Linked DNA regions of Coturnix japonica. The protein of the gene in region 1 interacts with the protein of each later gene in a pairwise test. Links are inferred from orthologs where the notes say so. Each region holds a gene or a part of one and is shown in the gene's direction. Other genes may lie near its edges.

What was found.
Region 2: the proteins of SIAH2 (region 1) and USP19 interact in a two-hybrid assay, tested with the Homo sapiens proteins (2 studies listed by BioGRID). The link is inferred for Coturnix japonica from reciprocal best matches to the Homo sapiens genes SIAH2 and USP19.

The regions. Positions count from the first base shown.
Region 1 is NC_029524.1:20,982,628-20,998,838, forward strand, and holds SIAH2 (E3 ubiquitin-protein ligase SIAH2), read left to right. Parts: upstream 1-7,733; 5' UTR 7,734-7,842; coding exon 7,843-8,244; intron 8,245-11,082; coding exon 11,083-11,640; 3' UTR 11,641-12,534; downstream 12,535-16,211. Other genes in the region: ERICH6 (glutamate-rich protein 6), read left to right, coding at 14,318-14,414, 15,295-15,341, 15,435-15,551. UniProt on the Homo sapiens protein: E3 ubiquitin-protein ligase that mediates ubiquitination and subsequent proteasomal degradation of target proteins.
Region 2 is NC_029527.1:9,096,938-9,112,439, forward strand, and holds the end of USP19 (ubiquitin carboxyl-terminal hydrolase 19), read left to right. Parts: intron 1-73; coding exon 74-481; intron 482-781; coding exon 782-1,049; intron 1,050-1,188; coding exon 1,189-1,345; intron 1,346-1,447; coding exon 1,448-1,519; intron 1,520-1,976; coding exon 1,977-2,092; intron 2,093-2,367; coding exon 2,368-2,582; intron 2,583-2,848; coding exon 2,849-3,050; intron 3,051-3,132; coding exon 3,133-3,266; intron 3,267-3,417; coding exon 3,418-3,576; intron 3,577-3,669; coding exon 3,670-3,780; intron 3,781-3,892; coding exon 3,893-4,003; intron 4,004-4,160; coding exon 4,161-4,262; intron 4,263-4,619; coding exon 4,620-4,760; intron 4,761-5,007; coding exon 5,008-5,126; intron 5,127-5,360; coding exon 5,361-5,498; intron 5,499-5,609; coding exon 5,610-5,974; intron 5,975-6,648; coding exon 6,649-6,759; intron 6,760-7,247; coding exon 7,248-7,464; intron 7,465-7,765; coding exon 7,766-7,918; intron 7,919-8,003; coding exon 8,004-8,167; and 5 more. Other genes in the region: sodium- and chloride-dependent creatine transporter 1-like, read left to right, coding at 13,270-13,351, 13,673-13,873, 13,971-14,050; SLC6A8 (sodium- and chloride-dependent creatine transporter 1), read left to right, coding at 14,168-14,216, 14,508-14,772, 14,844-14,976, 15,125-15,259, 15,346-15,449. UniProt on the Homo sapiens protein: Deubiquitinating enzyme that regulates the degradation of various proteins by removing ubiquitin moieties, thereby preventing their proteasomal degradation. Stabilizes RNF123, which promotes CDKN1B degradation and contributes to cell proliferation.

The DNA.
Region 1 (16,211 bases):
ATGGAAATATGCACCTGCAGCAATGACGTGCCTGGCTCCCTCCTTGTTGCTGTAGGAGTGAGGCTTGCTGCCTCAGTGCAACCTCTGGTGTGACAGTTGCTGCCCAGTATCAGGCTCCACCTTCGGGCATGGGGACTCGCAGCATCCTCAAGGACATACCTACAACTGTTGGTGGTATGGGGCTGGGCAGGTGATGGGGACATGGGCACAGGGACACAGGGACACAGACCCCTGCTGCCCCTGCCCACACCTGTCTGCTGTGCTCTACTCTGCCCTGCGCTGCAGACTGTGCAAAATCAGCCAGAAGGAGCAAGGAGAGGCCCTGGCTGCAGCGCTGGCAGACAGCCTGTGGGCAGCGGGGGACGGTCGGAGAGCCACGATCTGCATCCTCACTGCAGCCACACACTGCTCCCCTCCTGCGGGCTCCAAAGCTAACAGCTTCACTGAGCAGGTGGGTATGGAGATGCTTCCTGCAAATACGGCTTCTTAAAAGACATCTGGTCTGAACTGCCTACAGACCAGAAACATCTCATTAGCCTGCTCCTACCTTACAGTGCACCACATAACCTAAGAACATCGGAGCCATGTCCAGGTGGGGCTCGGCAGGTGTTCCTGCCTCCTTTTGAAGGCCTGACTTCTTTGTAGAGCTCATTTGTTTAACTCTGGTCTTCCTTCTGTTAGAAGAAGGAACAAGTTGACTTAAAGCCTTTCCTTAACTTCTATCTGTTAACTGCTTGCATAAAACTGAACTCTGCTGTTCAGGAAGGTCAGTGTGGGTTCCTGTGTTTGCCTTTCATTTGGAAACACTGAGCTGAAAAATTTCACTTCTGGATGTTCCATCTGCTCTGTGGTTCCTCACCTCACACTCCTGCCCTACAGATCCACCTGTTTGAGTTCCCCGAGAAAGCAGCAGCTCAGGAGTTTATCTTTGACCATATTGGCTGTGTATGTATGGAATATCATCTTCTTTTAATTTTGTTTTGGTTTGTTTTCATGGCAAATTGGCAGCAGCTTGTACTTGGTTCAAACAGGTTTCTTGTACCTTTAGCCAAAACCTGGAAAAACAGACTAAAATAGGTTGGCCAAGAACTGGAAGTTTCTTTTATTTCATCTGATTTTAATCAGCAAAACTGTAGCAAAGTCTTCCCAGAGTAACACCCCATTCACTGATCTCACTGTGTTCACCTGGCATTGCAGTTAAGCAGAGGATTTGCTCTAATTAAGCATCACATAGCCACTGTAATTCCTTCCCTGATTACTTCTTTCATTTCTCCAGTTCAGAGATGAAGGAAATCATGGACTGATCCTGTTTTTATACAGTTTGCTCTTCTCCAGGACGCTGGAAAGGTATCTTTCTTTTTAAAATCATCTTTGCCATTTTTCTCTGGTTACATCTTTTCTTCCATTACTTTAATGCTCTGTCCTGGGCTAACAGGGAGCAGCTGGCTGCGTGCTGAGGAGAAAGGTGCTGCTGTCATACAGCATCACTGTGTGCTCGTGCTGACACGACTGGCAGCAGCAGAGAGAAGCAGACATGCAGCTCTGTGTGCAGCTTCATATGCAGCTCCGTGTGCAGCTCCATGGGCAGCTCCAGCTGCACACAAAGGAGGAGCAATGCGCTGTGACAGAACAGGAACTATCCCACAGAATCATAGCTATGCTGAATTTAGAAAAATCACAAAAGCGTCACTGTGTTAGCAGGGGAAACTGAGAGAATCTTTCTCAAACTGATGTAAAACGATCTGTGCAAAGACACAGATCAGCAGCTGAGCTGTGCCCATGTCACACCCACGTGCCGCTGCGACCACAGCTCAGCAAAAACTGCAGTGCTGCTGCAAATAGTTGCACTCAGGTTAAACGTGGGTGTAACTGGAGGCTTCCCACAGCTGCACCGCAGAAGGAGAGCTCAGGTAGAGCATGAGGCCGCTGCATTGGGACACTTCTGTCATACCAGTGAAAAAAGAAAACGAAACAATTCTGTGCTATTTCTTCCTGCTTTCCTTATTGCTCACACGCGGTGCGCGCAGCTCCCACCATCACCGGTGTGTGACAGCAGCGCTCCGTGTTTGGCTGCGCAGGGTCCGGGAGGAGCTGGGCGGCACAACGCCACATCTATTAGAACGCAGCTCTGGAAACGTGGTCTGCACGCAGGTAGGATCAGCCCGAGCTGCCAACAGACTTATCGCTGTTACCTACGTGTGATTTAGGAAAGCACCCCGCTTGTTCGTCAGACAAAGAGGGTGGGCTTTGCGTGCGGGCTGTGCGGGCGGTGCGGGGGTCGCGCAGCTGGGCGCTGACAGCGGCTCCTCCCGCAGGCTGCGCTCCTGCTCGTCCTGTCGGGCAGCGCTCGGCCCGGGCAGCGCAGCGAGGTGGGATTCCTGCGCTGGGGCGGGGAGGAGGCCGAGCGCCGCCTGCCCCCGGTAAGTACCGCCGACCCGGCCCCGCATCCATCCACCCGCCTGCCCTGACCCCATCCCGGCACAGGCACCTGGGGCAGCGCGTGGAGCCCCCCGGAGCCACGGCACCCCCGGGGCTGCTGGCTCGGGACCCCTGTTCAGGGCTGCTGTGTCACACCACCTGTCACACCCGACCATCACACAGATACAATAAGGGCAAACAGCCACAAGGCACCTAAACCTGGCACAGCAGAGCACTGAGGAGCCCTGGCAGCGCTGAATGCCCACCGACCATTCTGCCCCTAGGTTGGCAGCATGCTGAAAACTCCCAAGTTCCCCGTCTGGTTGTGCAGCATCAATGGGACTCACAGTGTCCTTTTCAGCACCAACCAGCTGCTCCTGTCCGACTGGAAGATGGAGCACGTCTTTCACCTGTACTTCTACAACGGGCAGAACAGGCAGACGAGAACAGCCCACCTGACCGTAGGTGCGTGCCCAGCCCGCCCAGAGCACTGCACTGCGGGTGTCATGTACAGATGTGTGCATGTCCAGCCCCACACAGAGCCCATGCTGCAGGGCACCCACACACTGATGCACACATACAGCACACATCTGTATTTCCCCACCCAGAAGCAAAGTGCCCCCAGGCACCTGCATTCACCTTGAGCCCCACATACCTTCAGAACCGTGTTTCACTTCAGATACCCACTCACATCACTGGGAAGAGGGCCGCTGTGAGGCCGTGAGCAGCCCAGGGAGGAAGGTTCCATCGCTAGAGATGGCCATCAGGACCAAGTGGCCAGGGGCAGCTGTCAGATGGAATGGCACCCAGCCCTTCTTCTAAGCTGCCCTCCGCCCCAGCACCACCACCAGCACCAGCAGCTGGCACCACCACAGCCCTCAGCTGGAGCTGGCAGGGGAAAGGAAACAGCATGGCAATGGGGTCATGTCCTCCCAGGCACAGATGTTCAAGAAATAAAAGTCTATCATGAAAGTGCTGACCAGTGCTGACAATACTGTGTGCATCAAAATCATTTGGCCCAGTGTGAACATCCAGTTCCACCACTTACAATGACCAAGGTTTGCTCCCAGCCCTCCATACCCAGCCCCCTCCTGCTGCCCGCAGCAGGCACAGACCTGACCCGCAGCATCCCACAGGCATCTATGCAGGCCATGCGCACCACCACGTTACAAACTGTTCCCTGCTTCCTTTTTTAGACCTCGCCCAAAAAAGCTGTTAGTCATACCAAAAATGTGTGCTGTAATGACAGCTGTCTAGAGAACAATAAACCTTCCTGACAGATACCCGGAGATTCAGACCCCTGGATGAAAAATAGAAAAGGAAAAAAAGAGGGCAGTCAGAACCAGCCTGCAGTGGTGCTGGGACAGGAGACGGGAGCTGCTGGGGCTCTGCACTGCTCCCTGATCCCCTCCTGACATTGCTGCTCAGCTCACAGCTCTGCCAGTGCCCAGCAGCATCTCATTGTCCCTGCTGGGGCTGTGCAGTAGCAGCTGTACCAGGACAGACAGAGCCCTGGTGAGTCATGTCTGGTGCTCAGCGCTGCCATGCGTGGGGAGGAACCACACCACAGCCCAGGGCAGCACAGGGTGGCTTTCAAGGCAGGTCAGCTTATTGATACTTGAGAACACCTTGTCAAGGTAAGGAAGTCAGTGTTCATGCTAAACAGAGCATACTTATTCTACCTGAGGAATACTCGTATGTGCTCAGGCAAACAATGGATTAATAAAGCACGAACAGAGACATGAAATAAATGCCAATCAGGTTTGACTGACCAGCGCTGAGGGGCGTGCTGCATGGCCAGGCATGTTGTGTGGCAGTGCCAACTAAATGAGTTCCTATGAAGGTACAAAGGTGCCGAAGGACACCATTCAGAGCTGTGTTCCAGGTCAGTGCAGCAGCAGTGGTCAGAGCACAGCTGGCAGCACTGGGCCCCAATGCCACGTCCTGCACACACAGCTGCACTGAATGCATACGTGGGTTCAAAAGAAACAGGAACAGAAACGTGCTGCACCAGACTGAGGAAGCAGCCCCACTGCCTCCCTCGGGGCTTCACCCTTCCTCCCTCTCCCCATCTCTGTCTGTTTATAACCTCTGTGCAGTGCAAGGCTAAATTTAAGACAAAAGTTCCCCTCAAAGAAAAGGAAGCCCTTTCTGCAAGCTAACAGCACACTTACAGATGCTTTAAAAATAAGAAGCAATAACAGCAGTCTGGATGATGGTTAAACTTGGTTGGAAAAAGCAGACAAAAAGCACAGATGAGAGAGAGGAGAGCTCAGCAGCTCTGACACCTCACAGAGCCCCACACTCATAACAGCTCAGCTGCAGATTTTCATTTCTAGCCTGGAAATGTCTTTGCAGAAAATGCACAGACCCGGCACAGCCCACACAGCAGGTGCTGACGGACACACGGATAGATGGGGTGGGGGCTGCCTGAGAAACGGCCCTGAGCCTTGGTGAGGCACCCAGGAAACAAAGCCAGATGTGTGGGTGAAACTCACAGCACAGCACGGCACCTCGTGTGAGTCAGCCTCAGAGACGGCGAGTATCGGAGCCTCACAGCAGCTACAGCACCGCACCTGGGAGGGACAGGGGCAGGGGCACGGAGACAAGGGTTTCCCTGACGGGCCTTGCGGGGTCTCCAGAGAGCTCTGCCAGCACCTGCAGGCAGCAAAGGAATCTCAGCTCCTCCACCGCTCCCCTCGCAGCCCACCCTCCTCCTCCCATCTCCAGCAGCTTTGGATTGTGGTGGGAGCACTGCCCAGCTTCACGGTCCTGAGCACCTTCAGGGCCATGCCCAGCTTTGGGGCCATGCCCATACTTTCAGTGCTGGGTTTGTGGGACTTGGAGGTCAGAATGCAGCAGACCGTTATCAGATATTTATTACTGCCACTCATAGCCTCAAAATGGCTTTACAGACCGCAAGGATCAATCTCCCTGATCCTCAGCATACAAAACCAAACATATCAGACCATAGTTGTATGTTGTTCTCCTTTTTGCTCTGAGCCTGGCTGTATATGGAGGGCACAATTTTTAAACCCAAATTAAAAAGCCGATGCCTGTAACAAAATGAGAAGTGCACCAGGTGGGCAGCGATGCCCCCGCAGCAGCCACGGCCCATCCAGGGTAATTTGCTCCACGCTGTGGCTCTGCAGAGCACCCCTTTGCTGGAAGCACAACTGCTGGGCAGAGTGCCTGTAACCCAGGCACACCCTGATAGTTTCTGTATGTTACTGCTGTACATTTAACGGCAGGCTCTGAAGTGCAAAAAAGAGTGGAATAGCCACATTCTAGCACATAAATAGACATATAAAGTATTTAAAACTACTCCGTGGAAAGTACAGGAAAAGAAGAAAACCACGGGTTTTTTTGGTATAAACACCCACCCGTTCCAGTGTGTTTGTGAAAAGGCCGCTGTGTTTGCTCTTTCCTGTACTGCAGAACACACAACAGGTCACAAAACCAGGACGGTTCTTCTATGGGTAAAAATGAGACATTGTCATAACGTCACGGGCTGGGGGAAGCTTAACGGGCGGTGATCAGAAGGTCATGGTTGGAACATCAGCATGTGTGTATGAGACGTTCTGCTTTGAAACAAAAGGACACACACACGGAGCTGTGCTGGGGACCCCCCTGCCCCACAGCCCCATGTAGGTTTCTCCCAGGCCGGACAAGCACACACACACCACGTCCAAAAACTGCTGATTTCTGTCTGCCCCACTCCGCTGTTACACTCCATTTGTTTGGGGGTGGGGATCAGAAAAGGCCTCTGCACCCCAGGATTTGGAGAGAACCTTGGGGTCCCTTTATTCTCAGAGCTCCAAAGAACTTCCACACCTATGTCAAAGACTCTCAAGAGAGAATGGCAGAGGAAAAGCAGCATGTTGGCCATGTAACTCAAGAGAGGACAGAGCACAGCACAGCTCACCCCACACTATGGCTCGTTCTGGCTTTGCCGTGGCACAGCCTTCAGTGTGTCTGAATGCACTGCACATTACTGAGTGCCAAAGGAAAAATAAAACCAGAGCTGCAGTCAAAGCATTGTTCTCTGGTACCTTGGACTGCATCATCTTGCAAAGCTCGGCAGTGCTTCACAAGGAAGAAAAAAGCAGAACTCCACTAACACTGCACCTCCTTTTAATGAGAGCACGGGCAGTGTCTCAGTGGAACTCCTCGCAGGGCGCACAGCCACCAATGAGTCACACATGGTGCACGCCCGAGCAGCGATAACAGCACCATTCTGGGAAGTGCAGCCACACCTCGGAGGAAAGCGTTGCTCATTTAAGGGCAAGAGGAGTCAAGTCAGCAGCAGAACTCTCGGGAAAATGCTGTATGTCATGTGCCCGATGAGCTGACGGGGAATTCAAACCACAGCCCTGTTCATGGCCGCCCCGTCCGCTGCGCTGCTCAGCGGCACCACGCAGCGCTTTGTGCGCCCAGAGCCGCATCCAGCCCGGCGCAGGGACAGACAGCAACCACGGCAGCGGGCAGGGAAGCGCGCAGCTTCAGCCCCGGCTCTGCCCGCTTCCTTCTTCAGCCCCGCCGGCAAATGAAAGGGACGCGGGGACATTCCCACCCCCGGGCCGTCCTCACTTCTCCTCCGTTACCAAAACACAACGCGTTTAAACCGGTGTTTTATTTTCAACATTCTGTTACGGGGGGGATGAAAACAGCCCCATTTCTTTTACCCGACCTCCGCCCCCAAGCAGCGCTGCAGCACTGTTCCATTCTCCATCAGACCCATCTCTCATCGTTCCGTCCTCCCGCTCGCTCCGCTCTCACGCCCCGTCCCGTCCCCGCGAGGAGCCGCGCTCCTCCGCCGCTGCTCGCGCTCAGCACGGCGGCTCAGCGGTCCTCACGAGGGCCGGCACGGGCAGGGATCGGGCCCGAGCCCACGCGGATAACGGCGCCCGGTGGGTTTCCTCAGCCCCGCGGGGCGTCAGCGCCACCGGCGCCCCTTCATCCCAGCGCGGCCGGACGCGGAGCGCAGCGCCCTCGGTTACCGCAGCGCCCTCGGTTACCGCAGCGCCCTCGGTTACCGCAGCCCCGGACGGGCCCGGCGGACGGAGCCGCGTTCTCTCCCGGCATCGCAGCGTACCGGGCGGGGCGGGGCGGTGCGGGGCACGGTGCTCGGGCCGCCGCTGACCGCTCCCGAGTCTCGCCCGCTCCGTCCTGGCACCGCAGCCGTGGGCGCGGCGCTCCCCTGCCTCCTCCTCCTCCTCATCCTCATCCTCCTCCTCCTCCTCCTCCCCCGCTCCCCCCGCCGCCCCGCTCCGCTCCCCGCCCCGCCCGTCCCCCGGAGCATGCTCGCTGCGGCGGGGCCGGGCCGGAGGCTGCGCGCGGCCGCCTCTTGCGTCAGCGGAGCGTTCCGGGCGGGCGCGTCGGGTCCCGAGAGCCGCGGCCCGATGGTGGCGGCAGCGCGGCGCCATGAGCCGCCCTTCGTCCGCCGGGCCGGGCTCTAACAAACCCTGCGGGAAGCAGCCGCCGCCGCACGCCCCCGCCCCGGCCGCCGCCGCGCCCGCTCCCGCCGCCGCCACCATCGCCGCGTCCGGTGCCGGATCCTCCGCCGTGCCCGCGGCCGCCGCCGTCCTCTCCGGGCCGGGCGGGCCCGTGTCTCCGCAGCACCACGAGCTGACGTCGCTGTTCGAGTGCCCCGTGTGCTTCGACTATGTGCTGCCGCCCATCCTGCAGTGCCAGGCCGGGCACCTGGTCTGCAAGCAATGCCGGCAGAAGCTGAGCCTCTGCCCCACCTGCCGGGGCTCGCTGACCCCCAGCATCAGGAACCTGGCCATGGAGAAGGTGGCCTCGGCCGTGCTCTTCCCCTGCAAGGTGAGCGGACGGGGCGCCGGGTTGGACGGGACCCCCTTTCTGCTCACAGCCCTGCTCCTATTTCAGACGTGACAAAAACAACTCGTTTTCTCTCATCGTTGAAATAAGCGCAAGTGGTAAATGCGCTCGTAGGTACGGAGCTGACTTAATGCGGACACAGGGCGGGACGCAGGGCTTCATCTTTTGGAAAAGAAACCTCGCTCTTCGCAGCTTCCATAGGAGCAGCGATGCTCTGCGTCCCGAGAGCTGGGGCAGGGTTAGGGACACCTCCCTTAGGGAGGGTCCTGCTGAGATCCTTTAACTTGTCACCTCTGCCTGGAGCTGCTGCCCCATTTCTGAGCCTTCTTGTGGTTCTGATCCCTCTGAAGAAAAGGGAATCCAGTGAGGATTCATTTCGCTGTACTCTTTATGTTTAGTCCGAGGGCAAGATGTGGAATCCTTTCTGCACTCCACATCCAACCGTAATGTTTTGCTTTTAGAACCACTAGGCGTAGTGAGGTTGTGTATCCATTGAAAGGGCTCCGGCAGCATCGCACTGAGCGCTGCCCCCTTCGGCCGGGCGCAGGGACAGGCACTGCAGCCTCGGGCCGCCGCTGCTTCGCTGTGCAGCTGGGAGGGAAGAGCAGGGATGGACTCAGCGTGTCATTCCCGGCTCTGCTGCAGATTTCCCCTGCAGCTTCAGACAAGGTGCTTTAATCCCATATACACCCTGCCTTCATTCACTGACCTGGCTCTGCTGAGCACCTTCAAGCTTAGCCAATGTTTTCAGAATGCTTTCAGGCACTCACATTACCTGTAAGGGGAAGTCCAGGGTAACGCGAGTGAAGTGACGTACATAGCAACAACACGGAATGCTAAGTCATTATGTGGTGATGGCTGCAGGGCTGCCTGCTTCCTCTTAGGAAGGTGAATGTGGTGCAAGTAGTGCTGTGACGAAAGGTACTCGTAAAAGTGGAATGCTGGGAGCGAGAGAAAGGCAATGTGAGAGCACGGAGCAGTCACATCAGCTCCGGCATTTGTGGTGCACCAGCACTGCCTGCACCCTGCGCTCCTGCCTCAGGAAGGACACAGGAGAAGTGGAAAAGGTAGAGCCGTCAATGAGATGGGCGGTATCATATGACCTGCACGCAGGGAAAGACCAACAGGCTCTTTGGTTTGAATGAGGATATGGTAAATATCGGTGACATGTGCCAAACAGCATGAAGGCAACAAGTGCTCTGTGTTCCCAGAAGATCTGTGAGAGTCCCTTACAAACCCAGAGCGCTCCGTGAATCTGTTCACAACCTCCTGCTCACCAAACAAAACTGCTGCTGTGTGTTCAGGAGCCAACAGAAGGAGGTGGGTCACAGCAAAGGAAAAACCACAGCTATTTCCTCAGCTCTCTTCCTTGTGTGTTCACCACTGGTCACTTTCTGATACAGGCTGACACTACGCAGACGTTTGCTTTTGCCCATCCAGCAGCTTACATGTTCTTACTGCTTTTCTAACAGGGTCAGACCGAGAGCGGTTCTTCAGCAAAGTGCAAAGCGATTACATTGCCAACAGGGGTATGAATGTAGAGTGAAAACAGCAGAACAGTGAGAGTGGAAGCATAGAACCCAGCGGCAGGGAGCCGTGCTCTGCATGGTGGGTTTCTGCCTGCAGCAGGAGGAGCCCTGGTTGCACCGCAGCACACCTCTGTGCTCCTGTCACAGGTGGATAAATCCTGTCACAGAGGATTAAGCAGCAGAGCACACGTTATGGCTTATAAAGCAAGCTCTGTAGAAGCACAAGGTCTCGTTTCTGTCCCAGCAGTTGTAGCACTGTGCTGCAGTGTGGGTGATTTGGCTGCAGTAAGGAGGACTGTGGCGTCTGCATCTCAGGCATTTCACTCTTTGAGCTGAAACTAATTGTGTTTGCATTTAACCCCAAAATACGCTGTTAAACTTTGATGAATTTGGACTTTGCTTAGTTGAACATTTTACAAAAAGTCTGTCCAGACTTGTGTTTCCCCAGAGATTGTCTTGTTCCTTCAAACATTCTCTCACCTTTGGTCTCAGAGCACAGTCCCTGACCCAAAGAAGCGTCCTACCTCCTGTAGGCAGCCACACGTGGGCTGTGATGGCGGGACCGCATGAGCAGAGTTGCAGAAGTCTCTCCAGCTGTCTGCAGATGGGGGGAGCTGTGCTCCTGCTCAGAGCAAAAGACGCGTTTCTCCTTAGAGGTAGTGAGGAAGAAACGTGTTCAGTGCAGACAGCGACTCGGTGTTGAAAAGGAAAAGCATCCCTGTTTGCTGAAAGCAGATTAACCTTTGGAGGTGCCCGATGACATTAAGAGCAGTCACGCGGTGCTCACTTGTGATGAGCTCTGTGCTCCATAAAAAATCAGCATCTCTCTTCCCACTCTTTGAAACCGTGGTGCTAAAACTTGGGATCGTGGGTCTGAGTTTAATGGAAGTAGGTCTGCTCTGTGTTTATTAAAGGATGCTGTTGCAGTAGCTGTTTGCTGAGACTGGCATCCTGTGTGCTTTCTAAAGAGAAGAATCCATACTGGGACCACTTCAGCTGATGTGGACTGTTCAGGTCTAACTGCAACAGCAGATGATCTACAGCTCAGCCTTGTGGTCCATTTCATCTAAGTGCTTGCATTTAAAAAGCAAACAAAAGCCAACAGCTGCCAAGTACTGGAAGAACCTGTTTTTAAGAGGAAACAAAAATAAGCCCAGCTCTGAATCCAGCACCAAATAGAGGCGTCTCAGTAAGAGTTGCAGTGAAAATGAGAGTTGTGGTTGGTTGCAGGGGGGGCAGTGAGCACTTACGCTGGGTGGTTCCTGACGGAGTCTGTTTGCTCTTTTCCCAGTACGCCACGACAGGCTGCTCGCTCACACTCCACCACACAGAAAAGCCAGAACACGAAGACATCTGTGAGTATCGGCCCTACTCCTGCCCGTGCCCCGGCGCCTCCTGCAAGTGGCAGGGATCCCTGGAAGCTGTCATGTCCCACCTCATGCACGCCCACAAAAGCATCACCACCCTTCAGGGAGAAGACATCGTTTTTCTTGCTACAGACATTAATCTTCCTGGTGCTGTTGACTGGGTTATGATGCAGTCTTGCTTTGGCTTTCATTTCATGTTAGTATTGGAGAAACAGGAAAAATATGATGGTCACCAGCAGTTCTTTGCGATCGTACAGCTGATAGGAACACGCAAGCAAGCAGAAAACTTTGCCTACAGACTGGAGCTGAACGGCAACCGGCGCAGACTGACCTGGGAGGCCACCCCGCGCTCCATCCACGACGGGGTGAATGCGGCCATAGGCAACAGTGACTGCCTTGTTTTTGATACCGCTATAGCACACCTTTTTGCTGACAATGGGAACCTTGGAATTAATGTGACCATTTCCACGTGCTGTCCGTGATATATTTGTGTAGTTAGCGAAACGTCGGCGGTCTGGGCACAGTGCTTTACGTTACTGAGGATTTTCTTTCTGTTCTGGGTTTTTTAGATGCTATTCCGCTATGTCGTTGTGTAAGTTAAGGTTCCTAACTAGCCAACGTTTTTAAATTTGGAGAGAAGAGGAACAAGTGTGTCCTGTAAGGAATATAAGTGAGGAGAGGTTTTCTAAATTCTTGGGTGCCTTAGGAAGATTTTCCCCACACACAGACACCTTTTTAAATGTAATTAATTTAAAGAAAGAGTGCTTCCATTAGACATGTGGCGTGAGAGATGTGAAAGACTGCATTCCTGTTTAGAGTGCACCTAGAAGCCCTTTCAAGCAGGAAAACAGACTTGCTCTCACTGGTGAACTTCAGGAGTCCTTAGCAGGTGGGAAAAGAAGGAAATACAAGCAGCTTATCATAAGTGATGAGGCTCAAGGCATATCAGTAGGTACTTCAGCATTGCTACTCCATTTCCTGCTGCCTTATTTAAAAGGATGGGCGCTGGATCATATGCTGCCTTTTTAAAAAAAGAGTGGGGAGGGAGTGCTGGGGTGAAGCCCAGCAGGTCTCAGAGGAAATCGCTGGCTCTGGTCTGTGTGAGGGACACTAAGGAGCCCTGCACACAGCACAGCTGCTTACAACCAGCTCCTGGTCGGGGGCACAGAGCATAATATTCCCAGATAGCTAGAGCCAATAATACAGAAATATATTCAGGCTGTCCATGTGCAGCTTCCCTTGGAGACGTACTTGGTCACTGTAAAAGATTAGAATAATACAGCAAGAGCTTCATGGCCAGCGTCATGTCATTTGCTATTTAACTTCTGTTGCCATATTTACTTTTATTTTGTAATAAATATTTTGCAAAAACAACACGGTGCTGCATGCTGTCCTGCTGCACGTGGCGGCTGCTGCCAGGTCCCACTGCCAGCCCTGCTGCTGGGAGACCCACCCTGAAAGCAGCGTGCCTTGGGGGCTGGAGCTGCCTGCAGGTCCCACTCTGCCAACAGGAGCCTTTTCTGGGAGTCACTCACAAAAACCACAATCTCTGCATGTCTTGGCTGAGCAGCGAGGTGCCATTTAGAGCCACTGAGCCGTGAGCTGACACACAGCTGAATGACCTGGAGGCGGTAAGACTTGCAGCAGTGGAAAACTACATGTAAAAGGGCAGATGGAACTTGGTGTGAATAAACGTAACACCCAGGGAGGAGTGCTGCTCCCAGCCACGTGTGTTCAGGGAAGAGATCTCTGGAGTTACAGCACAAAGCCCCATGCAAATGCCAGGCAGTGCTGGGCAGCCGTCCACAGAAAAGCACAAGAGAAATGGATGGAAAGCATCAGAGAGGGGAGGCTTGCTCTGTCCTTAAGATTTGGAAGCAGCTGTGGAAAAACCCTCCCAAGGAATTCCTCTAATCTTTTTGTATCCAGTTCCCATAAGGTGCCACATTGGATCTCATTTGCACTGTGCTAGCAGAACTCCAGCATCGGCCGAGCAAACTCACTTCTGCTTAAGCAGGATCAAACTCAGGCCCTGGATCTGATGGGAGTTAACACCTGTGCTTTGAGCAGGGCTTGTTAAGCACGATTTCCCAAGAGTTTAATTCATGTTCCCATATCTCGGTACCATTTATAGTGGAAAACATTTTTTCTTACTGAAAATTTGAGTTGGGTCTTAGCAGTTTCCTGTGTTAAACAACACTCCAAAGCAAGTCATCGCTATAGCGGGATTCACGACGTGGAATTAATTACTCCAACACTGCCCGTAACCCACATCAGATAATACAACATTATTTCACTGCTGTTTCCTCCACCATTCCTTTCCTCTGATAGAACAGAAACTCATGTTATATTTTAAAAAAAGCAAACCCAACAAAACAAGAAAAAATATGTTAAATAAATAAATAAATAAATAAATAAAATAAAACCCAGAACAAACCCCAACCCCCACAACACGCAGTGTCTTTAAACTGGATTTCTGTCACCCGGCCCAGGTGCTCCAGGTTTCCCTGCTGGCACCATCCAAGGCCACGAAGACAGGCAGGTGCTGGTCCGGACCATCAGCCGCCCGGTCACGCACCGCGGCAGCACCGGCCACCCCGGCACAGCCCCGCCACCGCCACCGCCTCCGTCCCGGCTCATCACGGGGCCCGGGCGGTACCCGCAGCAGGAGCGGTGCCCGAGAAGGGTTTTTCCATTGACGCGACGCATCGCTGGCAGCTCTTCCTAAGAGCATCCTCCGCTCTGAACAGCAGCGCAGGAGCCGCGGGGACATCCGCGCAGCCCCGCAGCCCCGCAGCCCCGCAGCCCCGCAGCCCCGCAGCCCCGCAGCCCCGCCCCGTGCGTCCCCCCGTGCTCCCCGCACCACGCGCTGCGCCACCGCCCCGCGTCACCACGGAGACCGCACGCGGCGCAGCAACGGCCGACACCGAGCGGGACCGGGAGAGCTGCTCGTACCGCCGGGAGGAGGCGGGGAGCAGCGCGGGGCCGAGCAGCCGCCGCCCGCTGAGCTCCCTGCGCATCCATCCCCTCGGTGCGCGCTGCCCGCGTTGCTGATCGCGTACGTTGGTACGTTGGGTGTGATACGATATTCTTCCAAGGCAGCTGCTTTGGAGTCGTTGCGCAGGATTAACACACGAGTTTCTGTCTCAGGGAACGGACATGGACGTGCCGGGCGGTGCCGGTGCCGGTGCCACACAAAAGCCGTCGCAGCAGAACGAAGCGAGCCGGCTCCAGGAGCAGGACTGCACAGAACCACGTAAGAACAGCCCGGTGCAGCTGCGGGACAGAGCGCGGGGTGGGGGGACTCCCTGCCAGCCCACGGCACGATGGACCCCAAGGAGCGGCGCCTCGGGGCTTCGGAATGGAGCTCACAGCACAGCAGCCCTTCAGCTCCTCCTGCCCGTCTGCGCTGCGCAGCCTGGGGCTCAGCAACCAGCCCCACTCACCGGCGGAGGCACCGGGAACACGGCAGTGACGGCTTCTGCCTGGTCCCTGCCCCTCCGGGCATCACCTCGAGCAGCCCCTGCTTCCCTTCAGTGCCGGGCAGGCCCTGTGGGGACGGGCAGCTCCTCGGGGCTCTGTGAGCAGCCACGCTTCATGGCACAGATTGACTGCAGAGGATGGCAACTCTATCTCCTTAAACTGCAGCTTCACAAAGTTCATACAAAGCAGCAGCCACATCCATCAGCTCTGACTGCCCACACAGCTCCACAGCACTGCGTTCCACTCCCTGCCCCGCATTCCCCACAGCCCCCACAGCTCAGGCAGGAATATCACCTCATCTCATCCAAATACACATTCTAACTTTCTCCTGTTTTCTGATAAGAAGGATTTAGGAGGGCGGTAGCAGATGCCCAACCACGAGACACCCCCTGCCTCCTCAAAGGCTGAAGCCCCTCCTCGCACACACACAGAGATGCAGAAACCAGCCCCCTTCCTGCTCCTCAGCACCACAGGAGCAGGAGCAGGGAAAGTTCCCCCAGGTGTAGTGATGCCGGACCCCTGGCCCCACGCAGCGGGTCTCCCCTGAGCTGCTGCAGCCCAGCACAGTCCCCAGGCAGCCCCAGGGGCTGTGCAAGGCCTCAAGGAACGTGGCTGTGCTGTGCAGCAGCTCTCAGCACTGCTCTTGCCTGCAGCTCCACCAGGAGAGCCCAGCGGACTGGACATCACGTGTGCCATGGAGGTAAAGACCACTCAGTCCCTACAGCAATGCGTTTATGCCTAAAGTTTTTTTCCTTGAACAAAGCTATGACCCCACACTCTTTCCCCCTCCCAGTTCCTAGAGGAGTTTGTGGAGCTGCTGGCACAGCCGCTGCGCACGCTGCCCTCCATCGGCCCACCAGCCGCGCTGGCCTACAGACCCGAGGTGCTGCGGGGCTGCCTGCGGGCCGAGGTGAGTCACTGCTGGGTGCTCGTCCCATGTAGGAGATATAACAATAATGCCTTCTGTGCAGTCTGAGAAGGGCTCCCTCGAGGGGAGATTTCTCTTCTGTCAGGATGTTGAGGAGATGCTCATGGTACACACCTGAGCAGCAGGAGGCAGAGGCACGCTCCTCATCCTGTGCTGGGGATCTCCTAGCAGGAGATTCTGCTCTTTGACTAAACCAGACATTCAAAACGTGTTTAACTGGAGGTATACAGTCAAAGAATACACACAGGCAGGGCACTGAGCTCCAAGTAACCCCAGGCAGAGTACGGTGACCCAGGAGAGGTAACCCTACAGAGTGGGAAGCACAGAAGATTGCAGGAATCGGGCTCCAGAGAAGCCAAGTATTATTAAACCATATGGTCAGAGAAGGACCTGAACAGAGGAACTATGCACAGTGGAAGGCAGAGAGCAGCAGCCCTGCAGCCACTGCACGGTCCCTCCACCCTTACTGCCAGGGACGGCTCCATCAGCACGGAGTGCTGAGCTTGGGGCAGTGTCTGAGCGGAGCTGAGCGGTGCTCCTGGCAGCTGCATCCTTTATAATCCTATTTCAAAACACATCTTAAAAAGTCGGGTGAAGCTTCCAGAGCGTCCTGCACCCATCCTTAAACACGTCAGTGCAGCA
Region 2 (15,502 bases), on another chromosome or scaffold:
GAGGGGCTGGTAGAGAGCAAGACAGGTACTGCTTCCTGGCTGTGTTCCCACTGTGCTGCACTACTTTTCACAGAAGAGAAAGAAAGATGGATCCAAAGAGCTGGGCAAAGGGGCCATGTGCTGGGAGAACGGGAAGGAGAAGGCTGCATCTGCAGAACTGGCCCCTGAAGAACCACGGACTGAAAGCACTGAGCTTCCAAGAACCCGCAGAGAGCCCTCCAACCCCAAGCGTGCTCAGGGAAGAAGCGAGGCCCTGGGAGGGAAAAGCCCAGCCAGCCCAGGGACACAGAGTGGCCCCAGCGCCAAGCGGGCAGTATACCTCAAAGTGGCTCCAACTGAAGAGGAGCCAAATACCAGAGTCACCGGGAGCGTGGAGCCCGGCAAAGGGCATGGCGGGAGGTCAGGCAGCCGTCGCAATGGCAGAGCCAGCCAGGGTGATGGGCCTACAGCCCTGACTGACCTCGCACCACCACTAGAGAAGGTATGTTGCTATGGAATGAGATGGGTTCCTGGACCCTTGGTGGTGCTGAAGGCTGGTGTGGGCCTAGCTGGGAGAAAGGGTGGGTGAAATATAAGCTAGGACTTGGGAATGAATGCTACAGGTGCAAGGAGCCTTCAGTTGCTGGGCTGAGGCTGTAGTGCTAAGGGTGCTAAGACAGGGGTGTGTGGGTTATGTGGGACTGTCCCTTCTTGGCTGACAGCAGCAGGCTGTGGAGAAGTGTTGAACTGGTGGCACAAGGGGTCAAATTATCTCTTTTTCACTATCATTCTGTCTTGAAAGGCTGTGATTATGGCCAAGGAGACTGTTCCTGTGGAGATGCCACCACTTGCTGCTACCACAGAGGTGTTCCCCCACTGTGTTGCCACCTGTGTAGAGAAAAGAGTCCTGCAGCCAGGCAGCCCTGTTGAAGCCTCACGGGGCCGGGAGAGTGCACCAGTCTTGGGAGAGAGCTCTAAAGCCATCCCATCAGCCACACGTCCCCTAGGCAGAGATGGAGAGAAGAGGGACTGGTCCAAGGACGATGTGGCTCTGGAAGCAGCAGCTGATGGTGAGTGGCCCAGGGGTCAGTATCTATAGACTGGCATGGCTGGGAAAGTTCCTCTGCTCAGGACCTCTCCTTGGCCAACCTGCAGTGCTGCCTTGGAGTGCAGTGAAGGTGATCTCTGCTCATGTCTTTCCTTGCTCAGAGCCAGAGCCTCTTGTGAGCCTGACCTTTGTCAAGTATGACTCATATGAGAAGGGCAATGACCTGGTGGTGGTGCACGTTTATGTGAAGGAGATTCATAAGGAGACTTCCAAGGTTTTCTTCCGGGAGCAAGACTTCACACTGGTGTTCCAGACAAGGTACAAATGCACTTTTGAATGGAATCAAGCTGATGCGAAGCTTTTGGCTGTTGCCAGGCTACTTTATTCACCTTTTCTCACTTGTTCCTTATTTCTTTGCAGTGACATAAACTTCCTTCGCCTCCATCCTGGCTGTGGGCCCCACACAGTGTTCCGGTGGCAGGTGAAGCTCAGGTATGGCTTCCATCCTGCCTGCTTATACTGAGATGAGGAAGCTGAGAGCAGGAGCCAGTTCCAGGACATACTGATTTCTGCACCTGAGTGTCTCCATCACACCATACTGTTCTAACACCACAGTCCTGGGATGGTTGCAGAGAATAAAACTCCATTATCTGCAGTCTTTCCCCAGCCTGATCTAGAGCTCTTGGGGGTGGAGCCAGACCAGGCTGCGTGTGCTTTAGCTGAGACATCCCACTAGATTGGGCATATGAACCAGGCAGAATGGATCTCCCAGAAGGCAGGTCCCCTGTGTGCTCAGTGTGGCTAGACTTGAGGGCATTTGTACTGCTTTGTGGAGCCCCCCCTCAGGGTCGATGCCAGTTGGGAAACTGTGGCCCTGCCTTGCAGACTTCAGCATCTCTGAGGCTGCTGGGGAGGCTGGAATGATCCTCAATTTCTGTGTGTTTTGCAGGAACCTTATTGAGCCAGACCAGTGCACATACAACTTCACAGCATCTCGCATTGATGTCTGCTTGAAGAAACGCCATAGCCAGCGCTGGGGAGGGCTGGAGGCTCCAGCCACACGAGGTCTGCACCCTGCCTTCTTTCTGTCTTGACTGCCTGCTTGTACCTAGTGCCTTCCTTGCCACCTGCAGTGTCTGGAAGGCACTGGGTCTTCTGGAATGGGATCATGGGGAGGGAGGGTTGTGGGGCAGGCAATCCGGTCACTCAGGAAAGGCACTGCTGCTCACCTTCCTGCACTGGAAGGTGGGAGTAGGCAAGATGCTGAGCAAACAGCTCAGCCCCACCGTGGGCAGTGCACGGTGCTGCTAACCACAGGCCCACTCTTCCCCCTTTTTAAGGTGCAGTGGGTGGTGCAAAGGTTGCCATGCCTACAGGCCCTACCCCTCTGGATAAGACCCCTCCAGGCAGTAACCAGCACCCCCTGTCCAGCAAAGAGGAGGCCCGAACCAGTGAGAAAGAGAAGCCACGTGTCGAGGATGGGAGTCTGGATGGTGTGGCAGCCCGTACAGCCCAAGAGCACGTGGCAGTGAAGCAAGAGCCGCACATCCCCTCGGTGAGTGGAGCTATACTGTGTTTGACCTGGCTGTGGGGGGAAGTGGGGATCAACTTGTCCCTCTGGTTGGGCTTCACCTCCTTTGGTGCTGCTGTGGGGTCTGGCAGACTGTTCCTGGGGGAGGAGTTGGCATAGCTGGCAGAACTGGGGACAGCAGTTGTTCTGGTGGATGATGGCTTCAGCCCAGCCCTGTATGAGGTGTGGCTTGGATGTTTCCAGAGACCCCCGAGTACACAGCACCATCACACTTAGTTTTGCTTTGGCAGCCCAAACCAACTTGTATGGTGCCACCGATGACACACAGCCCAGTGAGCACTGAGAGTGTGGAAGATGATGAGGATGAAGATGAGAAGAAGAAGGTGTGCCTGCCTGGCTTCACGGGGCTGGTGAATCTGGGCAATACCTGCTTCATGAACAGTGTCATCCAGTCACTGTCCAACACGCGGGAGCTGCGTGACTACTTCCATGGTGAGCACATGCCTGGAGCTCAGCAAAGCCCTGCCACTCTGTGCAGCCAGCAGCCACCCTCACTCTCTTTCATCTCTTACAGATCGATCCTTTGAGTCTGAAATCAACTACAACAACCCCCTTGGGACAGGGGGACGCTTGGCCATTGGCTTTGCTATGCTACTGAGAGCACTGTGGAAAGGCACACACCATGCTTTTCAGCCCTCTAAATTGAAGGTAGGTACCAGTGTTCTGTGGGAGCTGCTGCATTGTCCTCAGCTGTGGGTCTCAGCATTTCTCTGTGCTGCTCTGCTGCTTTGGGTGCAGCCAGGCTTTGAGTATGGGGCAAGCAGTGTTGCTGGTGGGCTGAAGACTGTGCTCCCCACAGGCAATTGTGGCCAGCAAGGCCAGCCAGTTCACTGGCTATGCCCAGCACGATGCTCAAGAGTTTATGGCCTTTCTGCTTGATGGCCTGCATGAAGATCTCAATCGCATCCAGAACAAACCCTACACAGAAACTGTTGACTCAGACGGGAGGCCTGATGAGGTGAGGATGTCTGTCTCCAAGGCTATTGTGAGCACTGGCTGCTACAGAGCAGCCCTGGCCCATGTGATTTAGCTGAGCCCTTTCTCTCCGCAGGTGGTAGCTGAGGAGGCCTGGCAGCGACACAAGATGAGGAATGATTCCTTCATTGTGGACCTATTCCAGGGCCAGTACAAATCCAAGTTGGTGTGCCCAGTCTGTTCCAAGGTAGAGCAGCCCTGTTGGCTGTGCCCCTGGATCTCCAGTCTGTTGAGACTGTTGCCTTGCTGATCTCAGACATAAACAATTCCCAATATTGAGTGGGCTCTCTCGTCTGCAGGTGTCCATCACCTTTGATCCCTTCCTGTACCTCCCAGTCCCCCTCCCGCAAAAGCAGAAGGTGCTGACTGTCTACTACTTTGCAAAGGAGCCGCACAAGAAACCCATCAAGGTAAAGGACACTAATTACTTTGGGGAGGTAGCCTGAGGGGGCTCTTGGAGGTGCCATAGGCAGCTGGTCCTGTGCAAGTGGGCTGTGAACCTTGTGTTAAGCCAGGGCCTGCATGCCTTAATGTGGCATTACTAATGTGGCACTTACACTGTGGCAGTTCCTCGTGAGTATCAGCAAGGAAAACTCCAGTGCCATGGAAGTACTCGACTCGGTGGCCCACAGTGTGCATGTGAAACCAGACAACCTGCGCCTAGCAGAGGTGAGAATGCTAAAACTGACCACCAAGCTGTGGGCTGCTTGTGTGGGTGCCCCTGGGTCCCACAGTTGTGCTGAACACATTGCCACTAGCAGCCTCTTGTCCATGGGGTGAGTTTTGTCCGTGGGTAGTAGTGTCACACACGAGGTGCTGCCAGGGAGAATCCTGCTCAAGTGAGCTGGGCCTCTGCAGCGCAGCAGGCAGAGATACCAGGTCATGATGGTGGGCAGAGCACACCATCACTGTGATGCTACTGCTTCCACAGCTCACTATGTGGCTTCCTCAGGAGAGGAAAAGTTGGACAGCCCTCTGAGCACAAGGCAGCCCTCACACAGTCCTGTTCCACTGCTTTCCCGGCAGGTAATCAAGAATCGCTTCCAACGCATGTTCTTGCCGTCCCAGTCTCTGGACACAGTCTCTCCCACAGACCTGCTGCTCTGCTTCGAGGTGCTGTCCACAGAGCTGGCCAAAGAGCGGGTTGTGGAGCTGCAGGTCCAGCAGGTAAGCAGCAGGGATTGAGACTGCCAGGAGGCTGAGCGGGATGGGGAGAGCAGTGCTAGCTTGCACAAGTCTGGCATACTGGCTGATGTGTGCCCAGCACATGGCCCTGGTAGCACTCTGCCTGCAGAAAAGGGCTGCCCATCCTGGTGAATGACTTCTACCATGGGCAGGAAGCACAGGGGTTTGACAAGGCTACCTTATCCTGCCCAGGTGCCTTGCCATGCCCAATGGGTTCTTTCTCCTGCAGCGCCCACAGGTACCTAGTGTCCCTGTCGCCAAGTGTGCAGCCTGCCAGAAGAAGCAGCTGTCAGAGGAAGAGAAGCTTAGGCGCTGCACGAGGTGCTATCGAGTCGGTTACTGCAACGTGTGAGTTGGCTTGGTGCCTCACAGGGAGGGAGGGTCTCCAGCTGTGAAGGGTTGAGCGGGAGCACTCAGCCCACTGGGAGGAGGTGGGATGGGCTTGGCCTTTGGGAAGGAGCCAGTCTGGCTTGCAGCACTCCTCTTGTCCCAGACACACCTCTTGAGCACCACCAAACTCCTGCTGAGGTCTTGCCTGTTTGTTTGCAGGCACTGGGTTCACTGGGGCTCTATGTGTTACAGGACGTGTCAGAAGACACACTGGCCAGACCACAAGGCTTTGTGCCGCCCTGAGAACATCGGTTTCCCCTTCCTCATCAGTGTGCCGGAATCCCGCCTCACTTACGCCCGCCTGGCGCAGCTGCTGGAGGGCTACGCAAGGTGAGGGTGCAGGGAAGGGAGGTGCTTCTGTCACAGCAGCAAGCACAGCCAGGAGCTGAGCTGAGCCCAGCCCTGTACCTGGCCTGCTGTAACTGTCCAATTCTTGCTCAGGTACTCGGTCAGCGTGTTTCAGCCTCCTTTCCAGCTGGGACGGATGTCACCAGAGCAGGGGCTTCAGCCTCTGCTCCTAGACAAGCTGGAGCCCCTGGCCAAAGGCAGCTGTGCCGCCGCCACCTCTGCTCCTGAGCTGGGGGACGGGGACAGGGCTTCTGGCCTCCTGCAGGAGCCTCCCCTCTCACCAGCTGTGCCTGAGCTGCACCCGGAGATTAGTGACACTGGCACTGTTCGGAGCAAGGTCCTGGCTGCCAGGAGTTCCCTGCTGAGCTTGGATTCGGGCTTCTCTGAGCACATGGATTCGCAGGGTGACAGCTGTTGCGAGAAAGAGCCCTCCTACGAGAGAGCCCTCAAACCAGAAGGTAGGAGGTGCTGCGGTGCTAACCCTGTCTGTGCCAGGAGCCCAGGCAGCCCCCAGCAAGGCAGGGAGCAGTTTTCCCTCGTTGGCATCACCTCTCGCCCACAGTGTCTGTTTTCCCCACCCGGCTCGGTCTGGAGACCCCTTTGGATAAATGGGGAGCTCTGGGAGCCATGTTTTAGAAGTGCAGCCCCACCTGAAATGCCTAACAGCCCACGCTCTGCCCTGCCCTGGCAGGGCCTGTGTAACAGAGCAAAGACCTGACTTGGAAAGAGTCTGGGCTGCTGGAGGGGTGGGGAGGCAGGGGTTGGCAGAAGCCTTGAGTCTCGTGGGAGGGCAGAGCCCAGTGCTGAGCCCTTCGGGGCTGTGAGCGCAATGTTTCCCTCGCTCTGACTCAGCTGCACAGGAGCAGCCTCTTGCACTTGGGCGCCCAGCTGTCACGTTTCCAGACACTTGTCTCAGGATGGCAGCAATGTGCAGTGAAGGGGCAAGGCAGGCAGAGGAGCGCAGCTTGCCAGGGGCAGGCGTCTGCTAAAAATAGTCAAGGACACTGGGCACGTGGTTGTGTCCCTGCAAGGCCGTAGCATGTGAGATGGGGGTGGGGGCACTGCAAATTCTTGGCCCCTACGCAGGGCAAACAGGCAGTGCCACTAAAGATATGTCCCTGCCTATCCACAGCTGCCATCCCTGGGTACCAGCACACTCCAGACTCGCTGAGCGCCCGTGCCACGCAGTTCTACATCAACAAGATCGATGCTGCCAACAAAGAGTATAAGCTGGAAGATAAAGGTGAGCCTGGAGCCCTGGGGAGATCCAGTTTCATCCCTCGTGGCGTTTAGCAGAGAGTGGATCTATCTGGCCAGGGTGTAAGAGGCTCCTAGGGCCAGAGCAAGCCCAGGTATGCCATCAGCCCCAGGCTGTGCAGCAAAAGCTGTGTCTGGTGTGGGAGGGCAGGGCTGCACCGTGCAGAGCTCGTGCCTGTTCCTTGGAAGCTCTTCTCAAGCTCCTACTCCCCTGAGCAAATAAACCGGTTCCTTTCGACCTCCCACACTCAAAGAGGAGCAGAGATCTGTGTGGCTGGATCACCTCCTATCTGAATAGATGCTGTTTTTATTCCCTTTGGGGCGGAGAACCTAGCTTCGGCAGTGGGGGTGTGTGGCAGGACCACTCGCACCTTCTTGGCTGTGCTGTGTTAAAACTGGGCTGGGCAAGACTGCTCCTAGTCTAGTCCGGGTGGGCTTGGGGGTCAGCTGGCTGAGGTGTGTGCCCCTTTGCAGGTGACACCCCCTTGGAGCTGACGGATGACTGTTCCCTTGCCCTGGTGTGGAAGAACAATGAGCGCCTCAAGGAATTTGTATTGGTGGAGTCCAAGGATCTGGAGTGCGTGGAGGATCCGAGCTCAGCCAGTGAAGCAGCCCGAGCTGGCCACTTCACCCTGGAGCAGTGCCTCAATCTCTTCACCAAGCCTGAAGTCCTGGCCCCAGAGGAAGCGTGGTGAGGAAGGCGACGTGGCGGGTTCCAGCCTGCAGGCGCAGGCAGCAGCGGGGGTTTCCCGGGAGCTGCCTGGTCCTGCCTGACATTTCTCCCGGCAGCCAGGAGTGCTGGGGAAAGGGGCCAGAAGCCAGCAGGGAGCAGTGCCAGCACTCTGCGGGGCTGTGCTGTCCTGCCTCTGGCAGGGAGGCCGAGACCTCCTGTCTCCTCTGCCACATCCATACGTCGGGGGAGCTTAGGGCTGGGCTGGGCTCAGAAACCCAGGGCTCTCTACATGCTGGTAATGAACACATACTTTTCCCAGGTACTGCCCCAAGTGCAAACAGCACCGCGAGGCCTCCAAGCAGTTGATGCTGTGGCGCCTGCCCAACGTCCTCATCATCCAGCTCAAGCGCTTCTCCTTCCGCAGCTTTATTTGGAGGGACAAGATCAATGATATGGTTGACTTCCCTGTCCGGTGAGAGCTCAGGGGATGGATTGCTGGGGATAGTACTGCTTGTGCTGCCCGGCTGATCCCTGACCAGCCCTGTGTCTGTCCTCAGGAGCCTGGACCTAAGCAAATTCTGCATCGGCCGGAAGGGTGAGCAACAGCTGCCTATGTATGACCTGTATGCTGTAATCAATCACTATGGAGGCATGATTGGCGGGCACTACACGGCATATGCCCGCCTGCCCAACGACAAGAACAGCCAGCGCAGTGACGTGGGTGAGGATCCGCCGGCCTCCCCTCCCCTGCAGCTGTGGACGGTCTCCTTGCTTAACCCTTCTTTCCTCTCAGGCTGGCGGCTCTTCGATGACAGCACAGTCACCACTGTGGACGAGAGCCAGGTGGTAACCAGATACGCATATGTCCTCTTCTACCGCCGGAGGAACTCTCCTGTGGAGAGACCTCTGCCAGGGCACCCCCCAGACCACCGAGCCGAGCGCACCCCCTCTGCTGAAGCTGCTGCCAGTCAGGTGAGAGCTTGTGTCCCTTCCAGTATTGGAGCCACAGAGCCCTGAAATATGCATGTGCCCACCTGCTGGACCCCGTGGAGCCTAGCACCGCTGCGGTGCTGTGCCACCTCTCTTTGAGACCAAAGAGCGTGCACCAGCTGGGCTTTGGGGTCTGCCTTGCGCTGTTCTGGCTGTGAGCTCGGAACAGTCTTGTCGCTAAAGGGTGGGAGAGCTGGTTCCAGCCGCTGTGCTGGGAGTGCTGGTGGGAGGGCACAGAGCTGCAGGGGCAGGAGGGGGCTGTGCCCTGCTGGGCTCTGCACTGAGGAAGGCTGAGAACGGTGGAATGGGAGCTGGCTGTGGCAGGAGGCACGGCCTCCTGGGGACAGGGTGGGGATGTTTTCTGCTCTGGCCCAGGATGGGGCTGCTCTAGTTGCAGAAAAGGTGAATGCAAGTACTGAGCCAGAGGCCTGTGAGCTGCGGGATGCTGATGGGAAACTGCCCAGAGCACACTGTGCTGCAGGAAGGGTGAGGAGGGTGCGCTGACAGAAAGAGTGCTTTCAGCACTCATCAGTAGGGCATGGTTGGACTGATCTTTGCAGAAGTGTCAGAAAGAAAGGCCTGGGCTGGTGGTGTAGCAAATCACCTGCCTGCCAGGCTCCCCTGGGTCCGCTCTGTGCTGGCCTCGTTGGATCTGAGGACAGTGCTTGGCTGTGGCACAGCTGAACACGTGTGCCCCATAGGGACGTTGTGGTTGGCTATCCAAGCTGTTCTGGCTCACGTGGGCTGGGTGTCCTGGCTCTGCCTTCTCTGCTGGGGGACGGTGCTGCTCCTGTCACAAGGGTGTGTGTGCTGAGCAGCCACAGGAAGGCTGCTCCACTTGTCCTGTGCTGGCTGTGGGATCCCTGCCGTGCTGGGGACCGCTGTGTGCCCTGCAGCACTTGGCCTCGCTGCATCCCTGGGGGCTCATTGCGACCTCAGCAGCACTGTGTCCTGCACAGTGATGGGATGTGTTGGATCTCACTGGGCTGAGTGGTCTCCAAGTGCCTGGAATCACCTGCATCCTCCAGAGACCCGGTGTCCTGATTGGCTGCCCTGCGTGATCACCAGCACTGGGAAGGGCTGGGCTGTGACCGGCTGCCTGCAGATAATCCTCTTGGAAGCTGAGCTGTGATTGGCTCTCAAAGGATCCCAACCCACCAGAGGAGAGCTGGGACTGGTTGTGCTGCGACCGTGCCTCCTTCTCCTGCCATGCAAGCTGCCTCTGAATTGGCATCATCTGAGCAATCGCATTGGGATCACCAGACTTGAGCTGTGATGGGCTGCTACCCGCCCCCTCACCCGCATGGATCCGTCAGTGCCACGGAATCGACTGCAGAGGGATCCAGCCGCTGGCTCCTGCAAAGACACTGCTCCTGTTGCATCACCTGCACCCACCAGAGCAGCCTGAGGAGCTGTGGGGGCGGGTGCGACCGTGCTGCATGGGGAGGTGGGCTGGTGGGGCACGGGACTGGGCTCGCAGGCGGCCGCCTGCCCCGGGGGATGGCGAGGGGTGTTGCCAGTTGTGTTCTCCAAGTGCTGACGCAGGTTTCCACATCGCAGGCTTCTCTGATCTGGCAGGAACTGGAGGCTGAAGAACAAGAGCTGCAGCTCGAGGCTCCCCAAAGGCCTGCAAGAAACTCCTGGAGGCCCCGTGGCCAGAAGAGGAGTCCGGGTACCCCCCAACACCCAGACGAAGGCTGCATCAAATACTTCATCCTGGCCACCACGGCCGCAATCGTGGCTCTCTTCCTGAATGTGTTCTACCCGCTCATCTACCAAACCCGCTGGAGATAGGTGTGGGCAAACAGAGCAGGGCTGCCGGGGCACACGCCGTGCCAGAATGCTGCACCACGAAGACGTCAGAGCTGCCAGGTGGCCCGACAGAACCCTGCGGGCAGCAGGACAGAACCCTGTGGGAAGGACACGCCTGCTGCGGGCACCAATGCTCTCGGAGGGAAGCTTGGGGCTGTCGGCTCCTGTCTGTCTGCTCTGGCATCCCCTATGCCAGCTGGCAGGGCTGCGTGGCCGGCCCCCAGCGTTGCCAGGGCACAGCCCAGAACCAGCATCCCCTCAGCCCGCCCTCGCCCTGGCTGCCTGCTTGGATCGGGGCTGGCCCCAGTGGTACATGCTGCTCAGGAAAGGACGGTGCCGCTGCCACTGGGAACATCCTGGCAACAAGCAGAGCCCTGCCCGGAGCCTGTTGTGAGAGCAGGATGCCCTGACACGATCGCTGGTCCCACTGCTCCCTGCTTTGGGAGCCTCACATTCTAAAGAGCCGGCAGAAGCTGTATCCCTCTAGGCCAGCATCATCTCCTGTGCGGGGACTGGATGACTTGTCACCGTGTGCTTTGCACTTCCTTGCTCAGTCGGGGGCCTTGGCCTCAGCACTGCTCCTCACCCTGGGGCATGGAAGAGCAGCACCCAGGCAGACTGTGCTGGGGCACACACAGCACTCCCTGAACTGTCCCTGTCTGCATCTGGAAGTCCCAATTTACAATGGGATGGGTCTGGGGGAGCACGAGGCAGCACCTCACTGGGGGACTGGCATGGGCTCGGGGAGCAGCAGGAAGGAGCTGGGCTGCAGGAGGCCCGTGGGAGGTTGTGCTGGCAGCGTCGCTCTCCTGCACGTTGCGGCGTGTGCCAATAAAGGCAGGTTTTCCAAAGAGCTGCAGCACCTTCTGTGTGACAGGACCGTGGCAGCAGCCAGAGGCTCTGCAGCCGAGCCTGCTCCAGTGCAAAGGGCAGCTGGATGGAGTGTCCCTGCCCTGCCCCTGAGCTGGTCTCACAGCACAGCCGGCACTGAGGTGCTGCCCTGTGCTCAGCGGGGTGCAGGCTGAGCTCTGATTGTGCCGAGGGGCCCCAGGTGTGTAGCAACAGCCGTGGCACGTGCTGGGTGCCCGGCGGGCCTGGCAGCTCACAGCACTGCCTGGCTGGGGCAAGGCCTGTAGCTGCAGCGGTGCGTGACATTGAGACGTGTTGCCCTTGGCTGAGCGAGGCTCGGGCTGCTCGGGAGTGTTTGGGTTTGAGAGGTGACTTCAGAGCCCTGTGACTTCCTTTTCCGTCTCCGCTGCCGTCCTGCCGGCAGTGCCCTTGTGTGTGTCAGGAAGGATGCTCAGTGGGAACGGTCGGGGCCCCGTCAGCGCTGGGAGGCTGGAGCGGGGCAGTGCAGCCCCTGGAGTCCCCCCACCTCCCCCCATCCCTGTCCTCGTCGTACAGCTGTGCTGCCCGGCCCTTATTCCTGCACACGGGTCCCAGCCCGGTGCTCCCCGCCGTCGGGACGTTCCTGCCCTGGAACAGTCGCCTCATTGTCTGCGGTCTGGGGCCCCCACGCGCCCACGGCGCTGCCCTCGTGGGGCTGAGTCAGCGCCCGGCGCCTGCGGGGTGACCTCTGCTCCGCCTGGCGCTGCCGCCCCGGGCTCGAGGCCACGCACCGCTCCCTGCACCTGCCTCAACCGCAGGTGACGGTTCCGTCCCGTGCTGCCGCTCCCGCCCCGCGGACCCGGACCGAACGCAGCGGCCCATGGCGGCGGTGCGGGACGGGACGGCGCGTAGCGGCGATGCTGAGCGTGCCGCAGCCCGGCTGCAGCGCTCGGGCAGGTCGGGGCCGTGTGCGGGGCCGCTCCGGGCTCGTTGCGTTCCAGCCGGGGCCTTTGCCGGGAGCGGAGTGGGAGTAGAGCGGTATGCAGCGTCGTGCACTGTCTCACGGCCGCCTTCTGCTTGCAGGGACTGACTGCGGTGCCGTTCGGATCCGGCCTGGCCCCCGAAGGAGCCCCGCCGCTGGCTGCGGAAGGTCTCCCCGAGCGCTTCTCCAGCCCCGCCGAGCGCCCGGCGCCGTCCTACAGCAGCATGGAAGAAGTCGATTAGAGCAGCGCGGGCACCCGCCATGGGGCTGCGGGCCGGGCTGGGCACCGGGACGGGTGGGGGGCGGGCACGGGTCGGGGTTTGTCCTGCTCTCATTAAACTTGCTGAACTCCGCTCGTCTCTGCTGCCTGCTGCCCGCCCCGGGCTGCGACCCGGGTACTGCGTGTCCACCGCGCTGCCTACAGCCCCAGTGTCCCCTACAGCCCCCGGTGTCCCCTACAGCCCCGGTGTTCCCTACAGCCCCAGTGTCCCCTACAGCCCCCTGTGTTCCCTACAGCCCCCGTTGCCATGCAGCATCATCCCGGCGCTGTCACCCGCCGTGCCGGTGCATCGTGGCGCTGCTGTCGGGGAACACCCGATGTGCCCTCGTGCCCCGTGTCCCCGCGTGCACCCAGGTGTCTCCCGCTGTGCCCTACGGCCCCGAGCACCGCGGTGGATGTGGCGCCCGGGGACGTTGCTCGGTAGGCGCGGTGGGGGTGGGCTGAAGGTTGAACTGCAATCGCAATCAGATTAGGTGATCTCAGAGGTCTTTTCCTCCTTCAATTTCGTATCGATTTACGTCCCCCGGGGCGCCCTGCCGCCCCAAGCGCCCCGCGTTCACCCCGTGTTCGCCCCGTCACCCGCTGCGTCCCGTTGCCCGGTGCCCGCGTCCCGGTGCCGGTGGGGCGGACTGCAAGTCCCGGCAAGCCGCGGGCGGGCGGCGCGGCCAATGGCTCTCGAGGGGCGGCGCGGCCCGGCTCTGCCTCCGCCGCCGCCCGGTGCCGCGGCGCAGAGAGCCCCGGAGCGGCCGCGCGGCGCCGGCCCCGCAGCCCGGCTCTGAGCCGCCCGCCCGGCCCGGCCCGCCCCGCCGCGCCCCGCCGCCCTCAATGAGGTTCTTCCGACTCACCTTCAAGTGCTTCGTGGATTGCTTCTGAGCTCCCCCCGGGCACGGAGCCGCCCCCGAGCCGCCCCCGGTCCCCGGCCCCCCGCGCCATGCCCCCCGTCCCCGCCGACACGGCCGCCCCGCAGCCTCCCGCCGCCCCGAGCCGCGACGCCGCCGCCCCGACGGGCTCCGGTAAGAGCGGGGCTGAACCGGGCCGGGGAGGGATGCGGTGCGCGTTGGGGGGGGTGGTTGGGGGGGGGCCTGCACGGCCGACGCGCGACCGCGGCGCGCCCCTCCGGTCCCGCGCGGGGTGAGTCACCGCTCGCATTGTGACGTCACGCGGCGGGCTGACATCTGACGTCACGCCCCCACGCGCGGAGCGAGGGGCGCGGGGGGGGATCGCGCGGGACATGGGGACCCCCCCCCCCCGCGTCCCCCTTCCTCCCCACCCGTGAGCGCTGGTGACGCGGCGCTGCCCCCCCACCCCCCCAGTTCCCGTCCGTGTCCCGGCAGAGGGCACCGAGCCCCCCGCGGCGGGAGAGGAGCGGACGGTGACGGCGCCGCTGGTGGGAGCCCCCGGCCCCCCCAGAACGGCCGCCCCGGAGCGGGAGACATGGACCCGGCAGATGGACTTCATCATGTCCTGCGTGGGCTACGCCGTGGGGCTGGGCAACGTCTGGCGCTTCCCCTACCTGTGCTACCGCAATGGAGGAGGTGAGCCCCGGCGCGGGGTGTGTGTGTGTGTGGGGGGGGGTGGTGGGGGTCCGCCACCTGCCCGCCCTGACCTACATCGGCGCGCGGCGAGGGGGAGTGCGCCGAGTGACGCTCGCCATTCGCTGCGCCCGGCGGGCGGCGCGGGGGGGACCGGCGAGGGGGGGACGGCACGGCTGAGCCGTACCCTGAACGGCCGCGTCCCCCCCCCCAGGCGTCTTCCTCATCCCCTATCTGCTCATCGTCTTCGTGGGCGGCATCCCCGTCTTCTTCCTGGAGGTGGCCCTGGGGCAGTTCATGAAGCAGGGGGGCATCGCGGCGTGGAATATCGCTCCGCTCTTTAAAGGTATTCGCCGTCCTCCCCCCTGCTCCGTGCCCTGCGCGGGGCCCCCGCAGCTCCCTGTCCACGCCCCGTGTCCCGCAGCCAAGGATGGCAGCTCCCTGCCCTGCCCTGCAGCTCCCCGTTACCGTCCCCGAGAGCCACGAGTCCCCACTGTGCCCATGGCTGATCCCACGCCATCCCTTTGCCCATCATCCCACACCTGCACATCCCGTCCCCGCCATCGTGGCACATCCTCTCCCCCTGGATCACTGTGGGCACACAGAGCCCCGTGCCAACCCCACCGCCACGTTCCAGGTCTGGGCTTGGCCTCCATGGTGATCGTCTTCTTCTGTAACTCCTACTACATCATGATCCTGGTGTGGGGGCTCTTCTACCTGGTGCACTCGCTGACCGACAAGCTGCCCTGGGCCACCTGCGGCCACGCGTGGAACACGGAGCGCTGCGCAGAGTTCTTCCACCTGGAGCTGTGCCGTAACGCCAGCGCCAACGCCAGCGCCGCCGCCACCGCCCTCAACGTCAGCTGCTCCGACATGCGCTCACCCGTCATCGAGTTCTGGGAGTGAGTGTGGGGACGGCGCGGGGCGGAGGGGACGGGGATGTGTTGGTGCTCAGTGCCACCCCGCCATGCAGGAACAAAGTGCTGCGGCTGTCGGGGGACCTGAGCGAGCCGGGGGAGATGAACTGGCAGATGATCCTGTGCCTGGTCTCCACCTGGATCATCGTCTACTTCTGCATCTGGAAAGGTGTCAAGTCAACCGGGAAGGTAACGCGGTCCCACGGCTGTACGGGAGGTGCCACCAGTGCTTGGGGACGTCCAAACCCCAGCCCTGATGGGGACACAAGTGGCACGGGGCGTCCTGCCCCATAGCACCTCCTGCCCCACGGGGCTCTGACCAGCTCCCTGTCCACAGATCGTCTACTTCACGGCGCTGTTCCCCTACGTGGTCCTCATCCTGCTGCTGGTGCACGGCGTGACGCTGCCCGGTGCACTGGGTGGCATCGTTTACTACCTGAAACCCGACTGGTCCAAGCTGGCTGAGGCGCAGGTGAGGGCGGGGGGGGCAGCGAGGCCATGGAGAGGGACAAGGGACACGCAGTGCCCCTAAACCCCAGCGCCGTCCCCATGCCCCAGGTCTGGATCGACGCTGGCACTCAGATCTTCTTCTCTTACGCCATCGGGTTGGGCGCGCTGACGGCACTGGGCAGCTACAACCGCTTCCACAACAACTGCTACAGGTAGGGCTGCGCCGCCGGGACCCCGCAGAGCCCCACAGAGCTCCTGCACAGCC